4 linked regions of the Canis lupus familiaris genome follow. The protein of the gene in region 3 interacts with the protein of the main gene of each other region in a biochemical or structural test. Links are inferred from orthologs where the notes say so. Each region holds a gene or a part of one and is shown on either strand. Other genes may lie near its edges.

What was found. The genes of interacting proteins can lie anywhere in the genome.
Region 1: of the proteins of COPS5 (region 3) and CUL4A, one has a biochemical effect on the other in vitro, tested with the Homo sapiens proteins (5 studies listed by BioGRID, with this or other methods). The link is inferred for Canis lupus familiaris from reciprocal best matches to the Homo sapiens genes COPS5 and CUL4A.
Region 2: of the proteins of COPS5 (region 3) and CUL3, one has a biochemical effect on the other in vitro, tested with the Homo sapiens proteins (2 studies listed by BioGRID). The link is inferred for Canis lupus familiaris from reciprocal best matches to the Homo sapiens genes COPS5 and CUL3.
Region 4: of the proteins of COPS5 (region 3) and IKBKB, one has a biochemical effect on the other in vitro, tested with the Homo sapiens proteins (2 studies listed by BioGRID). The link is inferred for Canis lupus familiaris from reciprocal best matches to the Homo sapiens genes COPS5 and IKBKB.

The regions. Positions count from the first base shown.
Region 1 is NC_049243.1:60,778,310-60,786,113, reverse strand, and holds the start of CUL4A (cullin-4A), read right to left. Parts: upstream 4,248-7,804; 5' UTR 4,231-4,247; coding exon 4,077-4,230; intron 3,587-4,076; coding exon 3,471-3,586; intron 2,815-3,470; exon of another isoform or gene 355-2,814; intron 1-354. Other genes in the region: PCID2 (PCI domain-containing protein 2), read left to right, coding at 4,766-4,801. UniProt on the Homo sapiens protein: Core component of multiple cullin-RING-based E3 ubiquitin-protein ligase complexes which mediate the ubiquitination of target proteins. As a scaffold protein may contribute to catalysis through positioning of the substrate and the ubiquitin-conjugating enzyme.
Region 2 is NC_049246.1:38,007,863-38,015,564, forward strand, and holds the start of CUL3 (cullin-3), read right to left. Parts: upstream 4,248-7,702; 5' UTR 4,233-4,247; coding exon 4,161-4,232; exon of another isoform or gene 3,992-4,160; intron 3,981-3,991; exon of another isoform or gene 3,960-3,980; intron 1-3,959. UniProt on the Homo sapiens protein: Core component of multiple cullin-RING-based BCR (BTB-CUL3-RBX1) E3 ubiquitin-protein ligase complexes which mediate the ubiquitination and subsequent proteasomal degradation of target proteins.
Region 3 is NC_049250.1:17,043,534-17,051,436, reverse strand, and holds the start of COPS5 (COP9 signalosome complex subunit 5), read left to right. Parts: upstream 1-2,997; 5' UTR 2,998-3,016; intron 3,017-3,022; exon of another isoform or gene 3,023-3,107; 5' UTR 3,108-3,354; coding exon 3,355-3,497; exon of another isoform or gene 3,498-3,505; intron 3,506-5,706; coding exon 5,707-5,941; intron 5,942-7,437; coding exon 7,438-7,566; intron 7,567-7,903. UniProt on the Homo sapiens protein: Probable protease subunit of the COP9 signalosome complex (CSN), a complex involved in various cellular and developmental processes.
Region 4 is NC_049237.1:24,148,448-24,156,177, forward strand, and holds the start of IKBKB (inhibitor of nuclear factor kappa-B kinase subunit beta), read right to left. Parts: upstream 4,248-7,730; 5' UTR 4,076-4,247; intron 3,543-4,075; 5' UTR 3,525-3,542; coding exon 3,420-3,524; intron 1-3,419.

The sequences.
Region 1 (7,804 bases), on a different chromosome or scaffold from region 3:
GTCATGATCTTAGGGTTGTGAGATCGAGCCTAGCATCAGGCTCTACAGTGCACGTGGAGTCTGCCTTCAGCTCAGGTCATGATCCTGAGGTCCTGGGACTGAGCCCCACGTTGGGTTCCCTGCTCAGTAGGGAGTCTGCTTCTCCTTCTCCCTCTGCCCCTCCCCCTGCTTGTGCTCTCTTGGTGTCTCTCAAATAAATAAATCTTAAAACAAAAACAAAAACAAAAAAACAAAAAAACCCAAAAACAAAAAACCAGTTTTCAAAACACTGCACATTGGCCTATGGAAGACAAAGATCTCTGGGAGATGGGAAACAAGCCCCAACACTATGACTACCTACATCACTCTTTCCAGGCTGCAGAGCAGGTGCCTTGAGCTGAGGCTCAAGTCTCCAAGATGAAGGTCCAGAGGGAAGAGATGAGAGATGCATCTAGACAGGAGCTTGGAGATGAACGAGGAGCCCTCGTGGGTGCCCCTTGAGGATTCAGCAGAGCACTGACCTATATGTGAGGAAACGGTGAAGGCCAGGGAAAGAACCACCGAAAAAGTTTAGAGACAACAGTGTCTAGTGCCCAGAGAGAACCTGAAATAGCACATTTCCACAAGACATCAGGCACCTAATCTCATTCAGAAGATTGTCCCGCTCAATGGGGCTATTATTAACCCTGGACAAAATACTGCCCTAGTCCTAACAAATCTTAAAAGCAAGACTCTAAAAGATCAAACTGTTTCCAAATAATTTGTCTGCAATGAAGCTCAGAATATTTATAGAAATATAAAAATATCTATCGTAGTAATCAAAATTCATAATGTCTGATGATCAAAGATTATCCAACGGGTTAAGAAAAAACACACGACCCTTAGTGGGAAGAAAAAGCAGACAAATGTGGCCTGGAACTGACAGTAAAACAGCTATCATAAGTATATTCCCTATGTTTGGAAATTATGTAGTGACAAGGGAAGATACAGAAAAGATTCAAATTGAGCACCTGGACAGAAAACCAATGCACCAGAAAGAATTTCACCAGATGGCAGTCCTGGCAGATCAGACGTCACAGAAGATTAGTGAATCCAAAGAGATGAGTGACCTGAAGAGTTCTTTAGCCACTAAAGATATGTGCAGTTCACAAGCTCTCCACTAAGAAAGCCAAGATGGTTTCACTGGGAATTCTCTCAAACGTTTAAGGAAAAAAGAACACCAGTTCCATACAAACCCTTATAAGAAAGGAAAAAGAGGAAACATTTGCAACTCTGAGACAAATACACTACAAGAAAACAAGACAGCACTATTCTACGATCACAAATGCAAAAACTCATGAAATGTTAGCAAACTGAAACCAACAGTACATCAAAAATTCATACACCACTAGGCAAGTCAGATTTATCCAAGGACTGCTGGATGGTCTTACCAACTGAGACGTCAAACAATGCAAAGAACTAAAATAACAAAAGTCATATGATCATCTTAACAGTCATAAAAGAAGTCATCAAAATCCAACAGGTACTTCTGGTAATTTCTCAGCAAACTAGGAATGGAAAGGAGCTTCCTCAACCTGACAAATGGGTATTTTTAGAAAACAAAACAAAACAAAACACCACCAAAAAAATGCCCAACACTCAACATCATATTCAATGATGAAGGACCGAAGGCTTTTCCCACTAGGAGCAGGAGCTAAACAAGAGAGTGTGGGTTTACCACTTCTACTCACCACTGTTCTGGAGGTTCTGAGCAGTGCAGGGACACAAGACAGGAAATAAAAGGCATGCAGACTAGAAAGAAGTGAAACCACCTCTATTCATAGGTGATGTGATTGCTTAGGTAGAAAATCCCATGGAATCTACAAAAAGCTACTAGAAGCGAGGTCAGCAAGAGAGCAGGGTACTAGAGTGATACACAAAAAACAATTTCTATTTCTATATACTAGCAAGAACCAGAAATTAAAACTTATACCATACTACTGCTTGTAATACCACCAAACGTACGAAACGCTTAAGAGTATTTCATAGAAGATGTACAAGACCTACACACCAGAACCAGAAATCCTTACTGAGAAATCAAGGAAAAGCAAACAAAGCTGTGCCGTGTCATCAGTTGGCACGCCTGGTACCATCAAGACATCAACGTTCCCCACATTAATCTAGAATTTGACACAATCCTAATCAAAATGCTAGTAGGCTTTATTTTTTAGAAATTGGCAAACATCATAAAATTCATACGGAAATACAAAAGAACAGTACATGTGTACTCAAGTGAATAAAATTCCTTAAAAAATCGGATAATACCAAGTGTTAGCAAGAACATAGAAAAACGGAGCTCTCACGTACTGCTGCCCAGATACAAGATGGTATAGCCATTTTGAAAACAGAAAATGTCCTAAAGTCAAATGTACACTTGCCTTATGACTCTGAGACTACTTCTAGATATTTACCCATGTCCACATGAGACTTATTCCTTCAGGTTCAGAACAGCTTTATTCCTACCAACTGCAAACTGTCAGTTATCCTGGTGAAAGGCTGTAGCTGTACTCCCCAGCAACAAAGAAACAAACTACTGGAACTGGGTGCAGACAACTGCCCCACACAGGTTCCACCGATGAGACTTAAACTGGTCCAACAGACCAACAGCAAGGAAGTCAGTGATCCGCCAGGACCAGGTCAGGAGAACGAACTCTTTGAAGTGATGTAAATATTCTAGGGATCCCTGGGTGGCGCAGCGGTTTGGCGCCTGCCTTTGGCCCAGGGCGCGATCCTGGAGACCCGGGATCGAATCCCACATCGGGCTCCCGGTGCATGGAGCCTGCTTCTCCCTCTGCCTGTGTCTCTGCCTCTCTCTCTCTCTCTGTGTGACTATCCTAAATAAATAAAAATTTTTAAAAATGTTTTAAAAAAAATTCTGTATGTTACCATGATAACAGCATTTACACCTCAATATAAGTCACTAAAGTACAGGTTCTATGCAAATTATGCCTCAAAAAGTCGATCAAAAAATATAAACTCATACAAAGTTATTACAAAGAAGGGATGGATGTCCACCAAAATGCCAATAGCGGTCTTCCTTGAGTGGCGGGAGTACAGGTGGTTTTAATTTATTTTTGTCCTTTTTTGTGATGTCCATAGTTCTTACAACAAACAGTTATGCAAACAGAAAGTTTTAATTCCAATGTCTTCATAGAAACGGAGGTATCTATCACACGGTCATGCAAAATGTAGGTGGTAGGTAACGCACTAATCAACGAATGCTATTCTCTGAAAACCAGTTATCAGGAAAACCGGTCTGCTGATCAACGGAATACGTAAAGTAATGCTCCTTTTCCACAATTACGTTGGAAACGGAACATCTTCGGACGTAACAAAATCCGTTTCCGCGTCTTAACCGCAACGATCGGAAAATAAAGAGGAGGAGGGCCGCGTGGCCGTGCGGCAGCGACGGGGGGGAAGAGCGCCCGCGCGGGGTCCGCCTCGGCCCTCACCTGGTACAGCTCCTCCAGGTTGTACCTGATGGACGTGCTGCTCTGGATGGCTCGCACCGCCTCGTGGAGCTTCTGCCAGGTGTCCTGAGTGTAGTTGTCCGGCAGCCGCGGTCTGTCTGCGGGGCGGGGGCGGGGTGAGGGTCGGCGCCCCCGTCGCGCCCACGATCACGCTCACGGGCCCGCAGCCCCCCCGCTTCCCTTCCCGGAATGACCCAGTCCTGGGGGCCCCGGGCGCGGACCGGCCGCTGCGGGCCCCCGCTGCGTGGACGCCGGAGCCGGGACACAGCCGGGGCGCTTCCGGGGACCGGACACCCCTTCGCCGCCGCCCGCCAGGCGCCAGGCCCCAGGCCCCGGGACCCGCACTTCCGGCGGCCGGGGGCGCCCCCCCCCCCCGGGATTCCCTCTCCGTAGGACCGGCACTTCCGGCGGCCGGGAGCCCCCCCCGTCCCTCCCCCCCCCACCGGGAGCGGCACTTCCGGCGGCCGGAGGCGCCCCCTCCCCCCACCCCTGCGCCCCCCCGGGACCCCCTCTCCCCGGGACGGGCACTTCCGGCGGCCGGGGGCGCCCACCCCGCCCCGCCCCGCCGCCCCGCCGCCCCGCACCCACCTCGGAAATTCTTGATGACGAGCTTCTTGGAGCCGCCGGCGCCGCCCGGCTTGGAGGCCACGGCGGCCGCGGCCAGGGACGCGGGCTTGGTGAGGCCGTTGGTGTGCCCGACCAGCGCCGACAGGGCGCCCTTCCTGGGGGTCTCGTCGGCCATGGCGGCGGCCGGGAAGCAGCGGGCGCCCCGCCCCGTCCCGCCTCCCCGGCCGCGCGGGCGGGCGGGCCTCGCGTCAGCGCCGCCCCGGCCGCCCAACCGCCGCCCCGCCGGCCCGGCGCGACCCCGACCCCGACCCCGGCCCCGGCCCCGGCCCCCGCCCCGGCCCGCCCCCGCCCCCGCCCCGGGCCGCCCGGCGGCCGCCGCGCTCCTTGTGGAACGTATAACGGTCGAGGGGGGCGGCGGGGCCCAGCTTGCCCCGGGCGGGAGCCCAGGCACCCAGAGGGCGCGGACCGGGCGTCCTCGCCGGGAGGCGGTGGCGGATCGAAGCGCAGGCCGCGGCCTTCCTCAGCCCGGGCGCGCCGCCATCCCGGCCCGGGGCGCACGCTGCCGCGGACTCTCTTCCTCCGGAACCCGCGTGCGGGGGAGGCGGGCCTGGGGGGCGCGCAGGTCCGGACGGACCGGCGGCCGGAAGTGAGGCGGACGCAGCCGCGCGCGCAGGCCCCGCCCACGCCCACTTTCCGCGGGGGGTCCGGCCATGGCGCACATCACCATCAACCAGTACCTGCAGCAGGTGGGTACGCGGGGCCGGGGCGCGGGTGTGGGCCGGCGGGAGTCGATGCGAGAAGCTCCACCGGCGTCCGCTCGGGGGTGTGGCCGGGGGGGCGGTCCTCGGGGGCACCGTGAGGGCTTAGGGGCTCCTGTCGCCGCCGCCGCAGCCGCCGCCGCCGCCGCCCCCGCCCCGCCGCGGGCCTCGGGCCTCTCCTCTGACGGTGCCCGCGGGGTGGGCCTTTGAGAACCCGTTGGACTACAGGCCCTCGTTGGCGTCTTATGTGCGTCTTAAAGCCCTCGAGGGCTTGGGGAGGCGCAAGGGCGAGCCTGCCGGGCTCAGACCCGCGACCCCACGCCTCGAGTCCGGTCTCCGCCCGCCCTGCCGGGTCTGCCCCAGCTTCGGCCGCGCCCCTCGTTCCCGCGCCGGCGAGCTCTTACCGTGGTGCACGGCGGCCCCTAGTTCGCACTTTTCCTTGGAGGCGGTGCCGCGGCCGTCCAGGGGCAGCCGTTCCGACCCGAGCTTCTGGCCCCAGACGCCGAGCCTTTCCACGCAGCACTCCGGCCGGCAGCCTCGCCGCAGCCAGCCAGCGCTTTCGGTCCCAGGCAGACCCCCCCCAGATCTCGGGGTCGGAAGTGTCTCTTGAATCTTACTGACCCTGTGGGTTTGCACACGAGTCTGCTCCCTGTTTCGTACCTAACACATCCTGGGTCGGCAGCTGCCTGCGCACAGGTAGGTCTTTGTTGCCCCGGTCCCCGGGATTACTTCCCAGCAGCTCTCAGGTCAGGGCTTGCTTTGCTTTCACTCTCCCCGAAGCTTGCAGGTTCTCTTGTTGGTTCCTTGGATGCTCCTGGAACACACGCATTCCTGGCCAGAGACCAAGGGCTGGAGCTCAGCACAGCGGTGGTGTGGGGTCAGCCTGTCAGTGCCTGTGGGCCCGGAAGGGTGCCTGCACCTGCGTCAAAGAAGGCATCCACCCCTTGTGTGGCAGGTGACGAGCAAGCCTGCGTTTCGCTCAAGGGATGGGGGAGACATTGCTTCGCTGCTCAAAGGGACTAGCCACATCAACAGCCCTGAACAGCGGCCCAAGGGAAGAGCTAGTTGTCAGGGCCTTGTCTTCCCAGCGCTCACTTCCAGTTTGAGCAGCCCAGGGAGGGCTGTCCGTGCAGTGGTCGGCAGTCACTAGGCTGTCCCTGCCTCCCGTGAGGCCCTTTTTATTCAGTGCTTGGTGCTTCCACACGCCTCCAGTTTCTGTTTGGAGAGGACAGGTGGAGTTAATTTACTGTAACATTTTTTCTAATATTCTACTTTTAAAAATTGTTTTTAGTAAAAGATCGGTTTGTTTGTACAGCTCTCCCTTGAACAGTGTGGGGGTTAGGGACACTGACTCCCCCAAGCAGTTGGAAATAAGCCTATGACTTTTGGCTCACCAAAAGCTTAACCGATAGCCTACTGTTGGCCCAGAGCCTTACCAACCACAGAAAGGGTCAACTAGCCTGTGTTTTGTGTTGTGTTATCCACGACATTCTTATAGCCAAGCGAGAGAATGTTATCAAGAAAATGGTAAGGAGCAGAAAATACATTTACTGTGCCGTACAGTAAAGAGCCGTGGTGTGACCTGTCCATCAGGGGTCAGCTGCACTTTCCCCGCAACTGGGGCTCTTCAGTATTTCTGGGGTCTCTCTAAGGGCTGGTATTGTTTGGTGTTCTTCTTTCTTTGGTCTATTCTATAAACTCTTACCGCAAATGGCAAGTTACTTTTAAAAAACTATCTACATTTAAAATCGTAACTTTCGGGTAGTCCAGGTGGCTCAGCGGTTTAGCACTGCCTTCCGCCCAGGGCCTGATCTTGGAGGCCCGGGATGGAGTCCCACGTCGGGCTCCCTGCACGGAGCCTGCTTCTCCCTCTGCCTGTGTCTCTGCCTTTCTCTCTCTCTCTCTCTCATGAATAACTAAATAAAATCTTTAAAAAAAAATTGTAACTTTCCTCCAACTTTTTATTTTGAAAATTTTCTTTCTTTCTTCTCTTTTTTTTTTTTTAAGATTTTATTTAGTTATTCATGAGAGACCCGGAGAGGGAGAGGGAGAGAGAGAGAGAGGCAGAGACACAGGCAGAGGGAGAAGCAGGCTTCATGCAGGGAGCCTGATGTGGGATTCGATCCTGGGACTCCAGGATCACGCCCTGGGCCAAAGGCAGACGATAAACTGCTGAGCCACCCAGGGATCCCTTATTTTGAAAATTTTCAAATCTACAGACAAGTTGAGAGGAGAACATTGAAGACATGTATACCCTCACCTGGCGCACCACATTTGTGTACCCTTCCCCCCCCAGGCGTGTGTGCTTCTCTCCTGTGAGCTCTTGGAAAGGAGGTCGCTGCCCCCGTGGCCCTTCACAGAGCACCGAGGCTGTTGTGCTGTCTGGCTGCTGGGCTGGTGGCATAGCCGAGAAACGTAACACCAGTGTTTTCTGGTAGAGTCTGGGCTCCACATCCACCCACAGTACTGTTTGGAGCCTCTTTGTTACCTGTAGGGTCCAGTCAGGTCACACTCTGAGTATGACAGTCTTGCTCTGTAAAGTCTGTCATCTAGAAGAGTCCTCTTGCCTGTTTCTGGGAGCAGATTTGTTTGATGACAATTTTTTTGAAAATGTCCAGGGCAGTGGACTCATGGATGTGTCATCATCTACCTTTATGTGACTCTTTCTAGTGATTAGGTTTGGGCTCAGCTGGCCAGTGTAGATATCCTGTAGCCTCAGGAGGCTTGCATGGGTGCTCCGAACTGGATCACTGGGGGAAGGTGAGGCCCATCATCCTACTCCAGTGTCCGTATTGATTTGTAATCTGTTGGATGGATTGTGAGAGCCCATGAACATCCCGCTCCATACCCTTTCTAGGGTGATTGCAGCTTTCATTGGTAGTTTTTTCCCAAGCAGGTTATTATGTGAGTGTTTGCCAAGTGGTAATTCTCCCACTCTTTTTACATTTGTCAGCTACTACTTCATCTGTTAGAAATGCTTTTCCCTGTGCC
Region 2 (7,702 bases), on a different chromosome or scaffold from region 3:
TGAGGAACATTCACTTTAGAGCCAGATTAGGATCCTAGTCCTGCCACTTACAAGTAGTGTCCTGAAGCAAATTTCTTAGGTTCTCAAGGCTTCCTCTGTAAAATAGATGTTAGTGGCAGTACTAGAGTTGTGCAAATGAATTGAATTTATACATGCAAAACACAAAGAACAGTGTGTGTGGCACAAGATAAGCATTCACTGAGTGTTAGCTATTATTATTACTACCTTTCTGAAGGTCAGTTTGGCAATATATATCAATTTTGTTTGGCATAGTAACTCCATAATCATGGATAGACTCAAATATTTATGTGCCTAAATAATCACAATTTTATTATCTATAAATATGAATTAACTGGAATCAACCAAAACACTTGGCAACAGGGAAATGGTTAAGCAAACTGAGGTACCATAAAGTACTAGTCTTTACAAATCATATTCTTCATACATTTAACATGAGAATACCATATTTTTAAAAAATAGTTTTTAAAATAATGTAGTACCTCAATTTTATTGGGTGCTCACAAGTATACAATACAAAGATTAAAAGAAAACACATCAAAATGTAAATGTTGCTTATTCCCAAGCAGTAGGGTTAAGAGGTGATTTTTATTTCTTTATTTATAAATTTAGATACTTAAGTTTTTTACCATGAATATCCATCACTTTTATAATTAGAAAATCTACTAAAATGAATTCATTGCTTTGACAGATTATAACTTAATAGTTTTCACAATACACTGACAGACATTAATTGCAAGTCCTATTATACCTCAGTGATTTGTGCTTACTAGTAACACCTTTACTTTTTTACTGTATTTTTGAATAAACGAGATCTATTTTCAGAGTTGCATTTGAAACAACGAACTGTCCAGTAACTTTTACAAAAATTTAACAAAACTGCTAACAAATATCAGATACTTTTCAATGAAAATAACAGCAAAAAATTATCTGATGGGAGCAATTTAAAATACAAAGTCTTAATTATATTATCTTCATGAATTAGAGAAATGCTGTTATTACTTAGCTAAATTTAATGAATGAATGATGTACAAATAAAGCTTTCTCCATCTTGTCTCAATGAACTAATCTTATTTAAAAGGCCAAATTCTACAATATACCCTATACTTTAAAATAGTTTCAAATTCAATACTGGAACTAATCATTTTCCAGGCTCCTCTGAAGTATCTAGGAAGATAATGCAAAATACAAATGCCTTATAGGTAACTACTTTACGCTTTTGTTTTTTAACTTCTAAAGCTGAAAACATACTAACAGCTACAACATAACTGGATGTCCTGAAACTACTAAACAAATCAGTCTAAGTGTAAACAACGCTTTAACGAATCTTTTATAACTTACTCCATAGTTTCTGTATGCTAGAGAATGGTAAGTAAATATAGTTAATTCCCCACCCTGTTTGATTTCCAGGACTATTATTCAGACTATTATTCAGCTTTCCTGTATATAGTCCAGGTAATCCTAGGCAACTGTTACTTTCTCTAAGGAAATCTATTATGAAGATCAAAGCTGTTTTTTCCCAAATCTAGCAAATTTTACCACAGCTAGGAAAAACAAAATTAAGTGTCCCCAATTACCATTAAACTCTTGTGTTCTTAAGTACATCACAAATGATCTTAAAATTCATCTCCTTCTATTGTCATCCACTCTGTGGTTTCCCTCTAACAATAACCTCTACATGACTCACTGTCCATGCTACACAGGTAGAGCTCCAAGAAGCCAATCTAGGATTATGGAGTGGACATCACAACCAGAGATTCTTCATCATGACTATGCTCTATAATAACTGAAACCACTTCCAGATCACACACTTCTAAAGACCATCACTTTCATAATATGACTTCTAAACTCTGAAGGCTAAGTCAAGAAGGGACTATCAGAAGAGAGAGGAGCATTTTCATTCAAATATATCCCCTCCAATCCAATCAAGTTTTTTCAAGCCCATGTGGACAAAACCCATGTGGAAAGTACAGATGGAGAGGAATGGCTTTTCGAAGATAAAGGACAAAAGGTTCACCTGACAGCAACTAATTCTACATAGCAGAACAAAAGAAAAGCTCAGGAGTGAGACATTCAACAACAGCAAGGAAAGAAGAGCAGAAACTTCTTGGGGCAGCACTCTGATCCAAATCCATATAGCTTCCAAGAGTTTCGCAACTACAGCTTCCTTCCTTAAAAAAAAAATTTTGCCCCTTGCTGTTAATTTTGGGTACCAAAAAAAAAAAGTGAAATGACATATTTTGTGCAGTGTAGGAAAGCTTTCAGGCTGGGATAAACTTTAACTCCATCAACAATTTATGAATCCATAAAGTCCTCACTGTTTTCCATCTTAAAAAAGAACTAATTTCTCTTAAAATCTTACGAAAAGTTCTACTTAAAATGCAAATTGTAGATAAAACTGTGGTATGGCATAACTTACTCTTGGGAACAATAATGAAGGAACACTTAAAATATGTACTCAAAACACTAAAAGAACCTGATTTTACTGATGGGTCTGTATCTGGAATATGCTTACACATCTTATAGAATAGCCTGTGAGTTCACTTACCACTCTGTTTTGCAATGAAAACAAAACAATCTCAAAACATATTTTTACACTTTTTACACGTCGATTTTATAAAACAGAATCCTGAAATGAGCACCTGAGACCTTTGGTTAAACTATAATTTTCTTAAACTACAGTACCTACAATGCATGTCCAAAGATTAATACAAAATACTATATAGCTATAAATATTGTACATCTGTACCACATACAAACGCTATTTTTTCTTTATGGAACAGTATGCATTTACTACTAGAAGACTGCTAACCTGTAAGAAAAGAGAAATTTTGAAGGTCTATAAGGACTCATTTACCAAAGGGTAAGTCGGTGAAATATCATACCACTGAGGCATTTATCCAAGAAACTGTAACTTAGAAGTTTATAAATCAAAAAAAAATCTAGGTTCTTTTCAGTAGAAAGTTGTTACGAATATTATAAATCATGAAACATTGAAAAACTATGCTTTTAAAAATTAGCAGGTACTAAACTACTGAGTATCAAACAGTAGTCATTTATAAACTTCAATAAAGAATATTAGAAAATCTTAGATGGCAACAAGTTGTGGACAGAAAAGATCCAAATTAGCTCACAATCATTAACACACACACACAAAAAAAAAAATCAGTTTCAGGACTATGTGCTAACCTATCATATACTATACTCTTTTGCTAAAGGAATCATGAAATTCTTTCCTGCCTCTCCCAATAATAAATACAACATCCAGAAAGAAGGGATCTTTAGTCTTCAAGCTGTATTGACTTACTCCAAGCTCCTAGAACAGTGCCTGGCACACAGTACTCAGTCTTCATTAAACGAATGAGGGAATGAAGACCAGGTAGGAAGAGGTAAACCTAAATGGACGAAAAAGCTAATCACGCTTAAAGGTACAACTGGTTAATCGCAATATTAACAAAAGTGAGTTCATGTCAAATGTGAGCTATGCCGCATTATAGTAGTAAGTTTGAGTTAGAAGAACTCAGACTTCAAGAATAGCAAATTTTTCCTAGAAAACTTGTTATACAGAAAACTATTTGAAACTCTTAATAATTCGAAATCCTGCTAAACATGTTCACAACTGCTTTAGTAGCAAAACTAACATTACTCAAAAATTCCTAAGCCCAGCTCACTTCACTGTTAAGAGAAAACATGCTGACAGACTTCATTAGTTCTCTTCTGCATTAGTGTCTTCCCTCACTGCAAATCACACTTCAGAAAAAAGCAAGCCTTCCCACAGTGAATACAAACCCCACCTTTTCCCCCTTCCCAAAATATGACGTGTGTAGGATTCTAAGACATTCAAGATCTTTCCCCAGTTTTACTGTTGTTTTTTTTTTTTAAAAAAACAAAAAAAACAAAACCTTCCGTTCGACTGCTGGTTTGCCTTTCTTGACATATACCTGTTACCGTAGCGACGTGAGGCAAGAACGTCCAGTTTCTGTTACAACAGTACACTTTAATTGCTTGCCATGGGCTATCTGAATCAGGTATGGCATCCCAAGTTACACTCTCTACACTAAATAATGCCAGCGTATGACTCAACGTAACGCTAAAAAAGAAAGTTTCTAAACAGAGCAGCCTTTGCTGTCGCTGAAACCCACAGCGTAGAGCAACTCGGGGCAGTGACGACCCCCTCCTGCTGGGCTTCCACGGCTAAGATCTGGAGAGGCCATTGTCCAGCGTGTGTTCTCTGGCTTCCCCTTGACCCTCCTACAAGTGGCGAGGCCAATTCCTGCACAAGAAGAGTTTGTAAAGTGCTTTTGGACGCCTGTGGATGAAAGAGGCTATAAATACAGCTGACGAGGTTAGGTGCGTGCGTTACTACCGAGCAGTGCAAGGAGCCACGGTCACTGCGTCGGGGGGCGGGTAGGTGGGCGGCCAGCCCCCTTCCTGCGGAGGCACAGGACAGCCCCCTCCACCCCCCGAAAGGTCTGGCGGGCCCTGGTTGAGGCCGGGTTATTTTTGAGACCGCACGTGAAAAGTTCCACACACGCCCCCCCACACACGGAAGACTTCCACAGTCCCCGTCCCCGCGGGTGTGGTGGTCCCGGGGCGCCGGCAGGGAGGGGAGCACCGGGGGCCGGGCCTACCCCCCGGGAACGTGGGAAGGGGCCGGCCCAGGGGCCCCCGCCGCAGCCGCAGCAGCCGCCGCCCGCCCGCCCGCCGCCGCCGGCCCGAGGCTCCCGGGCGGGTGCGCGGCGCCGGCCTGAGGCGCCGGGGCCCCCGAGCCGCCCGCCCCGTGGCCGGGAAGGCTCGCGCCCCGCGGCCGGCGGCGTGGGGGAGGGGAGGCCGGGCCTGCGGCCTGTTGGGGGAGTTCAGCCCGGGCCTCGCGTGCGGCTCTCCGCCGGGCCCCCCGGCCCCGGGGTCCCAGGCGCCGAGGAGAGACTCACCGGAAAGGCCCGGATCCGCATCTTGGTGTCCTTCCGGCTGCCCGTGCCTTTGCTCAGATTCGACATGGTGCTCGTCCCCTCCCCGGCGGCGGCTTCGGGTCGCACTCCGAGGCGCCGGTGTCACATTTAAGGCGGGCGGGCCGGCGAGGGGCTGCGCTGGGGGGCGGCGGCGGCGGCGGCGGCGGCGGCGCGGCCCCCGGGCTGGGCTGGGGAGCGGGCCGGCCCCTGGGCGGCCGCGGCGGCTCGGGCTCCGGCGGCTCGGGCTCGGGCTCGGGCTCGGGCTCGGGCTCGGGCTCGGGCTGCGGCGGGGCTGGGCTGGGGGGGCTGCGCTGGCGCGGCGCCTCCGCGGGGTCCCCCTCACGCCCGGCTCGGCTCCCTTTATCGCGCTCCTCCGCGATGGCGGCGGCGGCGGCGACGGACAAACATCTCACTGCGCAGGCCGAACGTCCTCCTCCTCCTTCTCCTCCTCCGCCTCGACGAGACGAGATCCGGCCCAGAGGGTGGAGGGGGGAGGAGGGAGGGAGGAGAGCCGGAGAGTGGAGAGATCGGGGGGAGGGGGTGGGAGGACGGGAGGGGGAGGCGGGCGGCCGCGGCGGCGGGGCGGGGCGGGGACGCCGAGATCTCGCGAGACGAGGGCGAGCGCGCTGCCCCGGGTGGGGCGGGGCGAAGCCTGAGAGCGGGCGGGGTCCGCGGGAGGGGAGGAGGGGAGCGGGGAGTTGGGGGAGTGGGCGTGGCCAGCGGGGCGGGGAGGTTGGGTGAGGGGCGGGGCTGAAGGCGGGAGGAGAAAGCTGCCTTTTTGAAAGGGGAGCGACGGCGGCGCGGAGGTGGTTGCTGATTGGTGGAGCGCGGCGCGGGGTGGGAGGGGTCCCGGTCACGTGGGCGGAGGGGGCGGGGCGAGTCCTGAGAGCCGGAGCCGGACGGTAGTGGGCTGGGCGGGGTTGGGCCGGGGTCGGGGGGGGGCGGGGGCGTAGGGGTGCCAGGTGGTTGGCTGCAGTCTTAGAACTGGTTCCTGTGCGAGTTTCTAGGGCATGTGAGCTGGGGGGGTTGGGGGGGGTGTTTGAGTGGAAGCCAGAAAGTCCAAGGAAGAGTTTGTGCAGGAGTCACCTGCGGCCGTGAGTGCTGTGTGCCCTACGAGGGGCTCCAACGGGGTGCGCGCCCCCGCCCTCGGGATTGAGGGGTGCCGCTCATCCAGGCCCCTTCCTGGGGGAACCCGGGACTCCAGAGCGTTAAAACCTCTTTCTCATCCTTGAAATAAAATGACAACTCCCTTCATGTAGTATTTTGGCAGGTGGTGAAGAATAGAGCGGTAGGATGATAGGAACCTGCCCTTGACCTGCCGAATCATTTCTGCCATTAACCAAGAGTATTGTCGATTTTGGAAGCCGAAATTACTGTCTTTGATCCCAGGTTGTTGTGATTTTGGAAGTTGTTTTTGTCACTGTGGTCAAGGGGTCTAGTTGGATTCATCCGTTTTGCTCTTTATCTTTTTATTGATTGTGAATTTTACTTCCTGATTTACCTCTTTGCCCAATTGGTATTCTATCTGGACTTCTGACACTGCAAAGAATTATGGGAGTTCCCACTAAAATTTATAATGTCCTTTTAGGTGAGAACCTACTGTTGGGATGGGCACCTACATGTGGAAACTGAGGTTTTGATAGTTTGCTTACTTATTGTGATACTTTTCAATACCTCTTTATTTTTTATTTTTTAATTTTTTTCAATACCTTTCTTAAAGCAAGGATGTTAATACTTTTTTTATAGCATTTGAAAGCTGCGGTTTTATACTCTTTAAGTCAACAGAAATCTACTTTGTTGTGTGATTTGCCCTAAGTTAACTTAATCATGATGACTAAATTTAGGAATGTTGTGCTTTCATCCCCTATTTTGTGGAATGCCCCTTTGTAAATGTATTTTCTTGCTTTGTTTTCTGGTATTTGCTAGTGGAAACTTGAGTTTAAGAAATAAGGATATTGCTTGAAGCAATACCCCTGTAAATACTGAAGCTAAAAATAGGTCATCAAGAACTGGGTTGATAAGATTGGGAAGGGCGCTGATTTAATATAAGATGGTAGGAGTCTTGGATAGGAGGGTATAATCTATATGCAGATTGGACCTTCATTTCCATAATCATTAGGATATAATAACAACGGATGTTTTTCTATTGGTTGCACTGCCTGTGGCCCAATTTCTTTGGATAGAAGACCATAAGTTCTAGAGCCAGCTCTGTCAGTTTACTAGCTGTATTTTGCGTCTTTGTGGGAAAGAGTCTTCATCTGTAAAATGGGGGGAAAAGTAGTATTTCCTTCTTGGGCTACTATGAAATTTAGATGATTAACAGATTTTTAAAAGCCCTGAGAGCAGCGCTCAGCACAGAGTAAGCCACTCAATACCTCTTAGCTATTGTTATCATGGGTAATTAAGACCAAGGGCGTGCTATCTTCCTTCATTCAATTTTTTTTTTTGAAAAATACTTGTATGCTTTTAAAATGAATCTTGTTTTAAAACGAAGCTGGTCTCCAACACTTGGATTTCACAAGCCAATAAAATACTCCTCAAAAAGCTGGGGAACTAATATAGGGTTGATGACTTTAGTTTGACAAGTGAGGGCATTAGAAAGGAATAACTAGCATAGACTAGCCTCATTATCTTATATATATATTTTTACTATAGAAACAAGAGAAGGTAATTTTTGAATAAAGGCCAGTTCTTTAAATTCATTAATTTTGCCTTACGAAGAATAATACAGTTAG
Region 3 (7,903 bases):
AAAACTGTGCTGAAACCATTCTGTTTCAATTTATCCTATTTAAAACCATCTGCTCCCTTTCAGAAGGTCATCTGTACGCAGGAGACCTAAAATTTCATCCCTAGGGAGTATTTTCAGCAGCTAGTTAACCACCACAAAGTCTGTGCCCTCCTAGTGAGAAGAAAAAGAAGAGAAAACACCATCTTACTGGTGTCCGTGGGATTCCCTCTTGCTTGTCAACAAGACATGCCATTCTTTCATATAAAACAGAACCTCTCTGAGGGTATTTGAGTTTTTACAAACTTTTATTGGTTGCTATTAGATTCTTGGGATTTTCTGAGAAATGTCTGGAAAGAGTGTTGGTTTGCATTACCTCCCGGAAATGCAAGGTAAACTCTTCAATCCTACAATCTGAGAGCCAACTTCTCTCGAGAAAGGAGTCCCACTGCTAACTTTTACTGAAAACTGGATCCAAATCCCAGATAACAATCCTAAAATGAAGGCAACGAGGAGATGTGAGCTCAAGGACCCAGCACCGACTTCACAGGGCTGTGGTAACGGGAGTAAATTTTCCTTGCAAAGCAAAGCGCTGAGAACCGCGCCGAGCGCACAAACACTCAATAAACGTTAACCATTAATCAGCACCCGGGGGGGGGGGGGAGGGGGGGGAGGTGCTCCGGGAAACTCAGCCCCGAAGCGGAGAGCCAGCTGCTGGGTAGGGAAGACGCGCGGGAGCTGTGGGTGGCGGCCCAGTTAAGAAGCGTCAACCCGTCGTCAGGCAACCGGGTCTCCACAGCACCCAGAGCCGCGGCAGAGCCCAGCCCGCGCCCCCGGGACGCCGCCCCCGAGCCCCCGGGCAGCAGCGAGACCCCCGCCCGCAGGAACCAAGCACCGCCCCCGGCCGAACCGACCAGGATTCTGTACCTCCGACCCCGCCCCCCGCCCTGAAGCCCCGAAACCCCGACCTCAACCCTGCAGCTCGGGCAACGCCCCTGGCCCGGCGGCCACGAGGACTCACCCGACAGGGACCGCCGCCCTCACAGACCCGCGAAGTCCGGCTCCGCGGCCGGCGTGGCCGCCGGGAGCCCCCGCCTCCGCCCCCGCGCCCGCGCCGCCAACCCAGCCCAGGGACACCCCGCGCCCACCCCGGCCACACCCCGCCAGGCCCGCTTCCCTTCCGCGGCTGCCTAACGCTTACTCAGGAGAGCCGGCTTGCGCTGGGGACGACGCACAGAGCCCCAGGGAAGCTCTCCGCAGGCCGAAGAGGTGGCGACGGCCGCCCCGCACCGGAGCACCGTGACAAGCCGAGCGGCCCCGGCTCCGCCTCTTAAGCCGAGCCCTCCTCCCGCCCTTCCCAACGGCGAATGCGGCCCCGCCCCCACGACGGCCGCCGGGGTACCGTCGCGCAGTCGGAGCGCCCCCTCTCGCCCCGGAGGCCGCACAGCAGGCTCGCCTACACGTAGGCTGGGTGTATCTGGCCCTTTGCCTGGTGCCTCTGGTCTGTAGTGGGAGCTGTTAAACCATGAGAAATTCTTTCCAAGCTAAATCGATTCTAGCCCCTCTAGACCTTCCTAGCCGCATTGCTAGCCGCAGCCGCCGTGGAAAAAAAAAGATAGGGGTGACAGGGAAAAAATGTTTGCACACCTCCCCTGCGTATTTCTCCTCTTCCTGGAGTCTGGTCATCAATGTTTTGTCCTGGGGGTTTTTATTTTTTTTTTTAAAGATTTTATTTATTTATTCATGACAGACACAGAGAGAGAGGCAGAGACACAGGCAGAGGGAGAAGCAGGCTCCATGCAGGGAGCCCGACGTGGGACTCGATCCCGGGACTCCAGGATTACGCCCCAGGCCGAAGGCAGGCGCTAAATCACTGAGCCACCCAGGATTCCCCTTTTTATTACTAATTTCAACATGTTCGGTTCCCCCCAATACTGAACGGCCATGTGCCACACGAGAAAAGAGATCTCTAGCTTTCCAGCAGAGGGGAACTAAGAATCCTTTGTCCTAAGTTACTTTGTAAGAGGGTTTTAAAAACAAATTTTCTTCAAATGGAAGTTAATGTCGAAACTGCAGGCAGGGATGTGGATTCAATAATTCTAATGTTTTTAACTATTTGGCACGTACCGTACTAGGAGTGGAGGACACAACCCAGAGCCGCGTCCTGAACTCTTAAGCTTTTAGTGAAAAGAAAAAAATCCAAATAAATACATTATTACAATGCAACGTAACAGTTCTAGAAGCACCTACAGACGTTTAGAGACATCTAAAAGGAATCATTACTGGAGAGCGGAAAAAGTCAACATTTCATGGTAGAGATCCCTGAGCTGTTTTTGAAGATGAATTTGAGCTCCCAGGCAAAAAACAAGACAACACAACCGCCAGGGGAGAGTATTTCAAGCAAGGCTGACCACATATGCAAAGTTTCAGGATGATTAAAGATGAAGCAAGCAAGCAAATAAGTGAAATAATTAAACACTGCATTAACTGTTGGGGGAAAAAAAAAGTTGCTGAGATTAATTTGGCCTCGGGGATAGGAAGTGGTCTCACACCTTAAACGAATTGTTAAGAACTGGGTACTGATCTTTTCAAAACACTAAGAGCTCATACAGATGTTAATTTTTACAAACACGACAAAAGACCCTGTCGTAGCCTTCCACGAGTCTCCACAGCTTTCTTGAAATGCCGGAGAACTGCTCTCTTAAGAGACCCTTAGAGCCCAACCAAGGGTCCTTTGAACTTTACGCATGTGCAGTGACTCATCTGGAAGTAAACTGGGATGCCAGGTGTATCTTCGTCTCAACCAGCATCCAAAACTGCTTATGTCTCAAGTTTTTCACAGACATCCTTATTTTTGTAGGCTTTCAACAAACATTTTGTTTAAGGTACCCACACACCCACACGAAAACAGGTCTTTTTTTTTCCCCCAACACAGCCTAAAGAGCTAACCCACTTTTAATATGGCCGAGGCCGCGCCTGCGCAGTGCGAACAAAGAGGACCCGTTCGTTTCTGGCATAACGTTGCCGTGCCCTTCTTCCGGTGCGGAAGGCTATACCATTCTCACGCTCCGTCATTGTGTTTGTCCTAATGCGCGCATATAATTTTCTAAGATAATATGTTCTCGTTTCAGCCACAGGAGGATTCCTCTGTCTCTATTATGTAACCGCTGTTTGTATCGTGGCGTCCCGGAAGCGCTCCCGCCATCCCCGAATGGTCTGTACTGACTTCACCTCCGGTTCTGGGTGTCATGGCTGCCTCGAGAGATTAGTACGAGTTTGCACCTGTGGTGGGAAGGGTCCGAAGCCCACACCCAGGAACCTAGCCGAGTAAAGTTGCGTCTTGGTCGTGGAGGCGACAGCTTCTCGGATTCCACGGCGATGGCGGCGTCCGGGAGTGGTATGGCTCAGAAAACCTGGGAATTGGCCAACAACATGCAGGAAGCCCAGAGTATCGATGAAATCTACAAATACGACAAGAAACAGCAGCAAGAAATACTGGCGGCGAAGCCCTGGACTAAGGAGTGAGGAGGTCCCTGGCGAGACGCAGGGGATGGGAGGGGTGGCGGGAGTTTAGGACACCCAGGGGAGTGGGAGTTGCAGAGGGTGGGAAGCTAGTGTTTTCATGGACAGGGAGAAGAATATGCACCCGGGAAATTTGGGTCCACCTTTTTCTCCGCAAGTAGAGTCAAAGCCCTTCTCCTGGGTCTTGCTTCGATTCCCCTTCTTGTCTCTTTAACCCGTTTGCCTCCAGGGGATGTAAGGGTAAAGGACAAACGATTATAATTTCTCATTTCTCAATATCTATATTGTCATATATATGCCACACACTCTGCCTTAAGCCTTGTGTTGATATACACCTTGTTGAGACCTCTAGCTTATCTGAGACTGGAGACTGCACCCATCTTCAAAAGCCAAGTCAGCCCTGGCGTCTCTAACTATAAGCCATCTTTTAGACATTTATAAATCGATTGTTGATTGCTGGTAACTATTTCAGATACAAGGAGGCTCCACCCAGGCTCCCAAAACGTTAGTCCACCAGTTAACATGAACTAGAAATTTTATCAATAGAGTTTAAAGCTGTTTGCCCCTTAGCAAATGCCCTGTGTCTCTGGGAATGATGACAAGTGAAGGACTCTACCCACAGCATTTACCCTTAGTGTTAAGGGAGAGTAAAAAGAGCAGTCTTCAAATGGAGAGATAGAAAGGACAGCAGTGATCAACAACAAAACATTCTTCCATGTTTATCGAGTATTTAATATGGGCTGAGCACTGAGCTTAGGAATTTCTATAATATATTATTTAGTCTACATGACAACCCAGTACTGTATTTTCATTCCTTTTTTGGAAATAAGAAAATAAGCAAATACGAGTAACTTACTTCATGATCAGACTGAGGCAGTGAACTCTTAAGTGAATAATAGACTAAAATTCAAACCTCACAAGTGTCCCTAGTTCGTTGACTGGCCCTAGAAAATTTATGTATCTTCATTTTTTACCTGTAAAAAGAAAATTAGACCCACCCATTGGTGATTTCATAAAGATTAGATGAGATAATGCATTAAAAAGGGTCTACAATGTATGTAATAAGAGCACAATAACTTTTTTTTTCTTTTCCCCAGTGAATAAAGACCCAAGATTAATTCATGTCTTGACTCCCAAGACCAGGTCTCCATATTTTTCAGTTGTGATTGAAATCTGTGGGCAGACATCTTAAAAAGGCTTCTCAGGAAAGAAGAAGGAAAAAAAAGTAGGGGAGGGGGGCTTCTTAAACACATTGACCATATTATTAAAGACAGTTTGCTTAACTCTATAACAGGCTATGCATTTAAGGTTGCTATACTATAGACTACCAAATATTTGAAAACTATCCGTGTGCCTTATTGTCTGATTGCGGCTCTGATTATGTTCATCCCAGCGATCTTGAGCTGCATCAGTGAAACGGAAAATGTAATTTTATTCAAGAGTAGTTTAGTCACATATACATATGACAAACTTTTAAATAGTGATCAAAACAGAACTAAAGATATTAGAGCTACTTTTTTCATTTTGAGGCTGATAACACAGAAAGAAACAACACACTTTTTTGAGAGTACTATAAAAGATGGGTTAAGGCTAATAACAGCTAGCACTTAATATTAAGTTTTGGTATGTGTGAGGTAGTAAGATAAGCATTTATGTAAATTATTTCACTTTATTTCTTCCTAACAACAAATCTGTGACCTATTCCTATTTACAGATGAGGAAACTAAGGCGTGGGCATGCGGTGATTGTCTCTAGGCAACAGCTAGCATGGCAGGGCAAAGACTCAAACTTAATCAGATGGATGTCAGAGCCCACATTTGGATGTCAGGCCAGAAAGTTAGGCCTGAGAATCTTTAGGCACAACCATCCAACTAGACTCAGAATCAGAGATTTGGTGATTCCAAAATTAATGGAGAAAAAGTCTATTGAATTCTATGTAATTCCTTTCTACTTGAACAGCATATTTAAAACAGCATATTTTAAAAAACTATTTCATACTTTTCCCCTAAAGAAATACTTTGCAGGACCCAACATGTTTTTCATTTCCAGCCCCCTGCAAGAACTCTACTTCCCTTTTCTTTCCCACATTTCTACACTCTTTCCCCTTTCCCATCACTGTAAGTTCCTTCAATACTTGTTTTCTTTACAAAAACTATCTTTGAAATTGTGTTTTATATAAGTTAATTGTGCTGTACTTTTGTTTTGTAGTCACCATTATTTTAAGTACTGCAAAATCTCAGCATTGGCTCTACTGAAAATGGTGATGCATGCCAGATCAGGAGGCAACCTGGAAGTGATGGGCTTAATGCTGGGAAAGGTGGACGGTGAAACCATGATCATTATGGACAGTTTTGCTTTGCCTGTAGAGGGCACTGAAACCCGAGTAAATGCTCAGGCTGCTGCATATGAGTACATGGCTGCGTATATCGAAAACGCCAAACAGGTAAAAATGTTGCTTAAAGTTCAGTAATTCTAAGAGTCTCATGGAGACTCTTGAGTTTCTAAACTTAAACTATCCTCGTTACATAAGGTTTATATTTTATTTTCAACAGTGTCTATGTAAAATGTGTAAGAGGTTAGCATGGATATTTTTAAATAAATTCCCATACTCAAGAGAATAGATCTTAAAAGTTTTCATCATAAGAGAAAAAAAGTTGTACCAAATGTGTGGTGATGGATGTTAACTACGTTTTTTATAATGATCATTTTGCAGTACATACATATAGTGATTCATGATGTACACCTGAACTAATACAATGTTATACATCAATTATATCTCAATAAAAAAAAATTTTTTTTAATTCTCACACTCAGTATCAGATATATGTTTAAAACCAAAATTTGGAAACAACCTAAATGTTCCTGAGTATAAAACTGATTAAGTAGGGATGCCTGGGTGGCTCAGTGGTTGAGCATCTGCCTTCAGCTCAGGGTGTGATCCTGGAGTCCTGGGATCAAGTCCCACATTAAGCTCCTTCTATGGAGCCTGCTTCTCCTCCCTCTGCCTATGTCTCTCTCTCTGTGTGTCTTCGTGAATAAATAAATAAATAAAATCTTAAAAAAAAAAAAGATAGTACACTTGGGACGTCTGGGTAGCTCAGCAGTTGAGCGTCTGCCTTTGGCTCAGGACGTGATCCCGGTCCCAGGATCAGGTCCCACATCAGGCTCCCTACAAGGAGCCTGCTTCTCTGTCTGTGTCTGTCTCTCTTTGTGTGTCTCTCATGAATAAATAAAATCTTAAAAAAAAAAACTGATTAAATAGATTATGGTATATCCATACAATGAAATGCAAACCAGCCTTTAAGAAAAATAAAAATTGCAATGCCTTGGTTGCTCAGCAGTTGGGTGCATCTGCCTTCAGCTCGGGGCGTGATCCCGGAGTGCCAGGATCGAGTCCCACAACGAGCTTCCTGCATGGAGCCTGCTTCTCCCTCTGCCTGTGTCTCTGTCTCTAATGAACAAATAAATAAAATCTTCGGAAAAAAGAAAAAAAAATTAAAAAATTATCTGTATATTTTATTTACATGGAACAAACCCCACAATATTGTGTCGAGTTGAAAAAACAAAGAGCACTGTACGTGGTATGTCATTATGTGTGTTTCTATTAACTTACATATATGCAAAAATACATCTGCAAGATAGGTATGTAAGCAGCCGGCTATAGAGGTAACATGTGGGCTGAAAAACTGGCTATTGAGGGAAAAGGTGGGAAGGATACTGAATAACCTTACTGTACTAGTATCTTGTTGAAGTTTCAGGTATTATAGTTTGGGTATTATCTATTCAAAATAATCTTTTTTTTTTAACTTGAAAGCCACATTTGCTATCAACTGTTCTGCATGCTATTATTTTACCATAGTGCTATGTAAACAAATAAATGACAAGTGTCTCTAAAATTAAACAGAAACCTCAATCTTTTTTGTCCTCTTAATTTGTTAGGTTGGCCGCCTTGAAAATGCAATTGGCTGGTATCATAGCCATCCTGGCTATGGCTGCTGGCTTTCTGGAATTGATGTTAGTACTCAGATGCTCAATCAGCAGTTCCAGGAACCATTTGTAGCAGTAGTAGTAAGTATTTTTGCAACCAGTCTTATTAAGTTCTTCTTGAAGAATTATTTAAGTAAGTACACTGAGAAATAAAAACTGTAGTAAAGCACAACAGTCTGGTGTCATTATACCTAGGATTGTATCTGAATTCCACCTCTTAGAAGCTGGGACTTATGTCTGAACAAGTTAACTAACCTCTCTGCAACTCTTCCCCCACTCTGTAAGATGAAGGTGATCACAGCACCTAGGTCTCAGTTCTCTGCACATAGTAGGCATTCAGTAATATTGACTGAATTGAGTAACTCAGGAATTGATAGAGCAGCTCTTGCTATGCTTAGAGTGGTTTAGATGCAATCCA
Region 4 (7,730 bases), on a different chromosome or scaffold from region 3:
GAATTTTCTGAGGTTCTGGCTCACGGGAGAAAAATCCCTTGTGCACAGATGTTTCTAAATGGGTGTTAAATAAACTAATTCACCGTTTCCCGTAAAAGGGACACTGATTATACATGTCAGGCCTCATGGCTGGAGCAGATTTTATTTCTGTAGCCCAGACACCGATAGGTTTACTCTCTCAAGGCGCTCAGTGGCGAGGCGACTCCCGACCCGAAGAGGGCTGAGGCATCCGGTACTTGGACAGGTCCAGGTTGAGGTCATCATGGAAATGCAAATCAAAACCACAATGAGCTATCACCTCACATGTGTCAGACTGGCTAAAATGAGAGAGACAAGAAACAACAGGTGTTGGCAAGGATGTGAAGAAAGGGGAACCCTCATGCACTGTTAGTGGAAATGCAAACTGATGAAGCCACTGTGGAAAGCAGTGTGGAGGTTCCTCAAAAACTTAAAAATAGAACTATCATATGATCCAGTAATTCCACTGATATGTATTTAAACACAGAAAACAAAACACTAATTCGAAAACACTAGTATATGCACCCCTATGTTTATTGCAGCATTATTTATGACCACCAAGAGAGGGAAGTAACCTAAGTGTCCATGAATAGAAGAATGGATAAAGAAGATGTGTGTGCATGTATACATACATATACATATATGTGTATATAAATGTGTATATGTACACACACATGCACGTATATATATACACATAAAATATCCCATGCAATGGAATATCACTCAGCCATTAAAAAGAATGAAGTCTCGCCATTTGTGACAACACAGATGGATGTAATGAGTATTACCTTAATGAAGTAAGTTGAGGAAAAAATGTCATATGATTTCATTTCATGTGCAATCTAAACAAATGAATGAACAAACAAAAAAAGGAGAAACAGATACATAAATACAGAGAACTGGGGGGACCTGGGAGGCTCAGTTGGTTAAGTGCCTGCTTTCAGCTCAGGTCATAATCCTGGGTCCTGGGATTGAGCCCTGCACTGGGCTTCCCTGCTCAGTAGGGAATCTGCTTCTCTCTCCCTCTTCCCCTCATATCTGCTCATGTTCTCTCTCAAATGAATAAATAAAAGATGTTTAAATAAATAAATACATACAGAGAACTGGTGGTTGCCAGAGGGAGAGAGTTGGGGGATAGTTGAAATAGGTGAAGGAATTAAGAGGTACAAACTTTCAGTACCATAAATAAGTCATGGGGGGATGAAAAGTACAGCATGGGAAATATAGTCAATAATACTGTGAGAACATTGGATGGGGACAGATGGGGACTATATCTTTCATGGTGAGCACTGTATAATGTATAGAATCGTCAAATCACTATGTTGTACACCTAAAACTAATGTAATAATGTATGCCAACTTCAATTAAAAATAAAATAAAAATGAAGGCTACTGGTTTTCGAATAGGGGAACTTGAAAGTAGTAATTCTAGAAGACTAATCCATACACACAAACACACACACACATTTTTTTCAGGCCCATATCTATAAAGCCAGGAACAAATTCCATCTGACAATAGCTTTCCAAATTCATAGAGGCCATTCTGAGCTAGAAATGACAGACACATGGCACACCTGGACAGAACTCCTTTTGAGGAAAACCATCTCTACTTCAGCTGCTGAGATATTTGCTGCAGTCAAGAATCTAAAAGCTGTGGCCTATCTAGAAGCAGCCCAGCCCAGGTATATGTGGGGCCATAGAATGATCTGGCTCTTATGTTGTAATGTGAGGCCCACAGCTCTACTCGGACCAGAACACATTTGAGCCAGCTGTGGCTCAAAGGAATTCCAGCTGTGGCTGAAAGGAATTCTGGTTTCCCAGTTCAATGTGGGAATTACCACCTCCGGAACTGGACTGTGCCCTCCAGCTCTGGCTCCCACTCCTCCAGGGGTCGTTCCATCTACTCAGAGCTGACAGGACTCAGGGCAGGGCCTAGAATGTCTTCCAACTAACTGATAAAGGAGCGTGGCTGTCTGGAATGACTCTCTGATGTGGCTGGCCAGTAGCCTTGATGACTCTCTCGCTGGCTGCTGCAGCTGGCTCCCAAGAAGTGGTACACTTCCTTTCAGTCCAAAAAAGTGCTCAGCAGCCCCTGATCAAAAAGCAAGTGCTTCCTTCAAGGACTTCGGGGGTCTGATTTTGGAGTCAGGAAGCCAACTTCAGTTACTCAGTGACTGGGGGTTCCCTAGAGCAGTGGTCTCCAAATGGGGTAGATGTGCACCAGGGTTACCCAAGACTGGAATCCAAAACAATTAAATAGAAATTAAGCTTTTTTGATATTAACTTTATGAAATCTTCCTCAGATTATTTTTCAAAGATCATATATCTCGTGGACCCAAGGTATACTGAGGAAAATGGGCATTCCACAGGGAGTGGTGGACAGGGGCCTATGGAGACATGTTTCAGGTTACATGTGCCCCTGCTTAGGTGGATTATGGATCGTAGTATCTGAGGTCAATAAAATGACTCTCACAAAATGGACAAGTGGCTAAAGAAATTTCTGCAGAGGACTTCAGTACATGTAACACCAGCATAAGCAAAAAGGAATATGGAGGAACACTTCTATTGTGAGAAACTAAACTTATTTCAGACACATAAAGAGTAAAAACAATCAGGATCTAATCAGTCAGAAATAGGTCCAAATAATTCCAAATTATAAAAATTATTTGAAATACGGATTTTCACCCACTGTCCTTGATAATTCTCTGTTTCATTATGGATCTGTATAGTCTGTGCTGTGCAGTATTGCAAACAATAGTGGGAACACATAATTAGTATGTATTTAAAATATTTTTGGGGATCCCTGGGTGGCGCAGTGGTTTAGCGCCTGCCTTTGGCCCAGGGCGCAACCCTGGAGACCCGGGATCAAATCCCACGTCGGGCTCCCGGTGCATGGAGCCTGCTTCTCCCTCTGCCTGTGTCTCTGCCTCTCTCTCTCTCTCTCTCTCTGTCTGTGTGTGTGTGACTATCATAAATAAATAAAAAATAAAAATAAATTAAAAAAAATAAATAAATAAATAAAATATTTTTGAGCTAATTCTTTAAACACTTAAATATATTTTACGATGCTCATTCTTTAAATTTTTCAATTTTTGTATTTCAATATTAATACACAATATATTAGTACATGATAGCGTGATGATAATAAAGATACTAGTTTAAGATATATAAAAGTTAAAATATTTTTACAATTTGGGGGCCATAGTCAGTAAAGCTTGGAGACCACTTAGAGGCAGCTGAGCAGCTCGGAAGCCCCCTGACGGTTCCCGTTTCTCACTCCCCCAAGAAGCCCAGGGCCAAGGACGAACCCCGTCCCCCACCCAGCACAGTGTAGGGCGGAGGCAGTTCCCAGGAGCCTGTCTTCCCGGCCTCTGGCTCAGCCCAGGTGCACAGCGCCCCTACCTGATTGTGCCAGCGGATCACGTTTCCAAATCCCCCTGTCCCAAGTCGTTCTTTCATCTCCCAGGCCCCACATGTTTGGGTTGGCAGAGAAGGTGACCAGCTCATGCTGCTGCCGCGCTAACTCTGTAAACAATTTGGTGTAGGGGACAAAAGATCAAGGTTAAGAGAAAATGGAACTCAAGCAGACGGAGAAGCTAAGAGACAACATTGCCCTTCGGTGCGAGAGAGGAGCTGGTTTTCACTTTATAAATGAACCAGGCTGTCTGGTTTGGTTTTGGGTTTGGGTAGCCAACTTTTGTCACCCCCCCACCCCCACCCCGCTCAGCCGTAAGGGAAGGAGGCGGGGAGGACAGTCCCTCGGAGGCCCGCAAAGGGCATCCCCCGGACCGCAGCGAGGGCGCCCTGTCCCGCGCGCTCTGCCCTGGGTGGCCGGGGCACGCTCTCCGGTCACGTGTGTCCTCACACGGTCCCAGAGCCCCCGCCTCCAGGCGGCCCCCGGAGTCACCCCGGCTCCCGCGGTCCGCCCGGAGAACCCGACTTCTCAGCCCGACCCCAGGGTCTCCGGGAGCCTCAGGGAGGAGGGGGCGGGCTCGCGGGCGCCGAGGGGCGCGGGGTCTGCCGGCGGCACCTGGCCCGCGGCCGCCCGAGGGACTCACCTGTCGGCAGGGGCGCGGGGCGGGGCAGCCGCTCCCCAGGACCGGGGAGGCGGGGGCTAGGGCGGCCAAACCGGGGGCTCTGGCGCCTCCCCGAAGACATTAAAATGCGGGAATCTCAAACGGGCCAGCGCAGCGCCACTTCCTCAAACACTTCCTGCTCTGACGTCACGGGGCACGTGGGCCGCGCGCCCTTAAAGGAGCCGCGGCGCCACAGGGGGCCCGGGGGGTCGTCGCCGCGGTGACCCGCCGGCGCGGCGCGCGGCTTCCAGCGGGCTCCCCCGCACCCGGACAGGCGGTGCCCCTGGGGCCCTAAGACGAGCCCGAGTGCGCCGGACTCGGTACACGGTGACTGGAACCTGCGGCGGTTTCTGGGACGGGGGAGACGGGGATTTCCTCCCGGGAACCCTCCGGGGGGTAATGGACGCCGCTTCCTGGGCTGCTCCCTCGCTGGAATTTCCCGCGCCCGCCAGGGTTTCCTTTCGGCCTGCTGACAACTGCCCGGCCCCTCCTCAGGCTGCGTCCTCCGTCCGCAGGGCTCGGCGCTCGGGCTCGGGCTCGGTGTCCAGCACGACCAGTCACGGATGTACTCCCAAGAAGCCACAGCCTCTACTACCCCCTTCACGAAAAATGAAAGGAGGGAAAACCTCGTAGTTTCCGCCGCAGTGATGTAGGGAAGTTGTAAGAGGTTCGCCGGTCCGCTGCTACCTGCCTGACGTGGTAATGAGGTGTGCCGTGGAGTTTCTCAGTTCTGTGCATTGCACTAACACCAAGCTGGTGTGTGTTGGTAGATTGACCCAAGCAGGAAGAGTAGCATTGGAGGAAACCTGAAGAATATAGCTCCCCTTTATAGGATGCTTCCGAAGCGCCGGGCGCTGCCTACACACACTCTGTACTTACAATTCCTTCTGCGGATCCCCAGGGCAACCCTCCACATCGGGAGGGATTGGATTCTTGTTCTTGTTATCCCCATTTTTTAAAAAAGATTTATTTATTTATGATAGACACACACACACACACACACACACACACAGGCAGAGACAGAAGCAGGCTCCATGCACCGGGAGCCCAACGTGGGACTCGATCCCGGGTCTCCGGGATCACGCCCTGGGCCAAAGGCAGGCCCCAAACCGCTGAGCCACCCAGCGATCCCCTTGCTATCCCCATTTTATAGGTGATAAAACTGATGTGCAGATAGGAAAATATGTCCAAGTCACAGGCTAGTAAGTGTATGAACTGATAGTCCAACCCAAGAGGCTGGTTTTTAGGTCCAAGCTCTTAATATTTGATGAAATGTATCATACTAAGAAATTCAGAAGGAGGCAAACTGGAGTTTGAATCCTCACACTGCTATTGACTACTCTGAGATTTGGGGGCCAATTACTTAATCATTCCAAGCGTCTATTTCTCTTCCTTTTTTTTTTTTTTCCAGATTTTATTTATTTATTTGACTGAGAGAGCACAAGGTGGGAGGGGCAGAGGGAGAAGCAGGATCCTTGCTGAACAGGGAGCCTGACACTCACACCTGGGGTTCCATCCCAGGACCTGGGATCATGACCTGAGCCAATGACAGATGCTTAATGACTGAGCCACCCAGGCGCCCCCATTTCTCTTCTTTAAAATGTGGGCAGTATTAGGTTGAATCGAATGAAGTCACCTTTTTTTTTTGTAAAACAAAAACAGTTGAAACACGAGCAACAAACATCAGTGGTTTCATCTAGTTTAGCCCAAGAGCAGTAGGAGGACAGGAGGACACCAGCAGAGTTGTCCTAGACAGATGAGTTAATAACACCAATGGCCATGCCCAACACAGAGAACACCTGTCTGCAGAAAACCTGAGGCTGAAGTCAATTTAGGAACAGTGACATGGTTTGTAGTGGTGGGTTACAGAGTGCACAGCCAAGAAAGAATTCTTCAGACATCTTTGATGCAAAAAGGTGGTTTTATTAAAGCATGGGAACAAGACCTATGGGCAGAAAGAGCCGCTGCCCCAGGATTGTGAGGAACAACTGATTATATACTTTGGAGATGGGGGAAGTAAAGACCAAGGGAAGTTTCCAAAAGGTCTTTCATATCCTAAAGAAGACTCACAGGATCCTGGAGGCCTTGCTGTTGCCTAGCCGAGGTTGTTTCTCCCTTTAGCAAAGCATTAACATTAAGAACAGTTGGGAGTTTCCTGGAGGCATGTTATATTCTGCTTGCCCCAAGTGTTTGTCAATAGGCTGAAGGTTATAAGGAAATTTAGTTTCATCTACATTTCCTTCTGCCATTGTTCCCCACATCATTCCCACTGAACAATTTTGACCCTTAAATCTTTAAGGTTGTCGAGGGTGGAAGGTCTCATCTTCTGTAACTTCTTCCTGCTGATAGGGGTACAGAGAGATGTCCCTACCTATGCGTCCGCATTGGTCAGTTGGGGAATTTATATACATAGGTGTTACCAAAGTCCAAGGTACACAACATATGTGTACCTCACTGAGTAGAAAGGATCATTTATCAGCTGGAAGCTATGGCAGTGAAGTCTTGGCACCAGGCAAGGAGACAGGAGAAAAGACAACAAAATAAGGTTAATAGTATAGTGAGAAAGAGAAGCCCAATAAAAATGGCATTGATGGTCAACTAAAATTTTTCTCCTGCTCTTTATTGTCCTTTAAAGAGAAGTTTGATATCTTCCACAGGTTCACAGGAATAAGAAGCCACATTAGTTTGCTCATTGGATTCCTGTGAAGGCAGTACAGGTTTTATACTTGATATAGAAGCTCATGAAGAGTACCTCTCTCATTTTATTTCAGTGGGAATACATAATATGACCCAGCAGGGGTCCTTCCATTTTGGAGTTAAAACCCCTGCTGAAAAAAAAAAAAAAAAAACCCTGCTGTAAATAAACCATCTCTCTGGGGTTTATATGGGGTGGTTTGCTAGTGACTATCATATCAGGTTTAGAGAGAATATAGTTTGCATATTCATTTAGAAATTTATGAATTAACCCGGCCTCAGAGCATTATAGTTTCCACCAATTGCCTATAGTAACTCAAAGGGACTTAACCCTATTGGTTGTTTAGGGGCAATCCTCGCTCTGAGAAGCCCTACTGGTAAGAGAGTAATCCAGTTTTCTTGAGTCTCAATGCTTAAAATAGAATATCTACAAGGATGTGTTTTTTTTCTTTACAAAGATGTGTTATTGAAACATTTTCTCTATAGTCTGTAATCACCCTCATTTTATTTTTTTTAAGATTTTATTTATATGAGAGAGTGAGCATAATAGGGGAGGGGTAGAAGGAGAGAAAGGGAGAAAGAGAGAAGCCAAAGCAGACTCCCTGCTAAGCCTGACATGGGGTTCAGAGCTCTACCCCAGGACCCTGGGATCATGACCTGAGCTGAAGGCAGATGCTTAACAGACTAAGCCACCCAGATGCCCCTATAATCACCCTCATTTTATTTTTTTTTTTATTGTTATTTTTTTATTTATTATAGGCACACAGTGAGAGAGAGAGAGAGAGGCAGAGACACAGGTAGAGGGAGAAGCAGGCTCCATGCACCGGGAGCCGACGTGGGATTCGATCCCGGGTCTCCAGGATCACGCCCTGGGCCAAAGGCAGGCGCTAAACCGCTGCGCCACCCAGGGATCCCAATCACCCTCATTTTAAATCAGAGATAG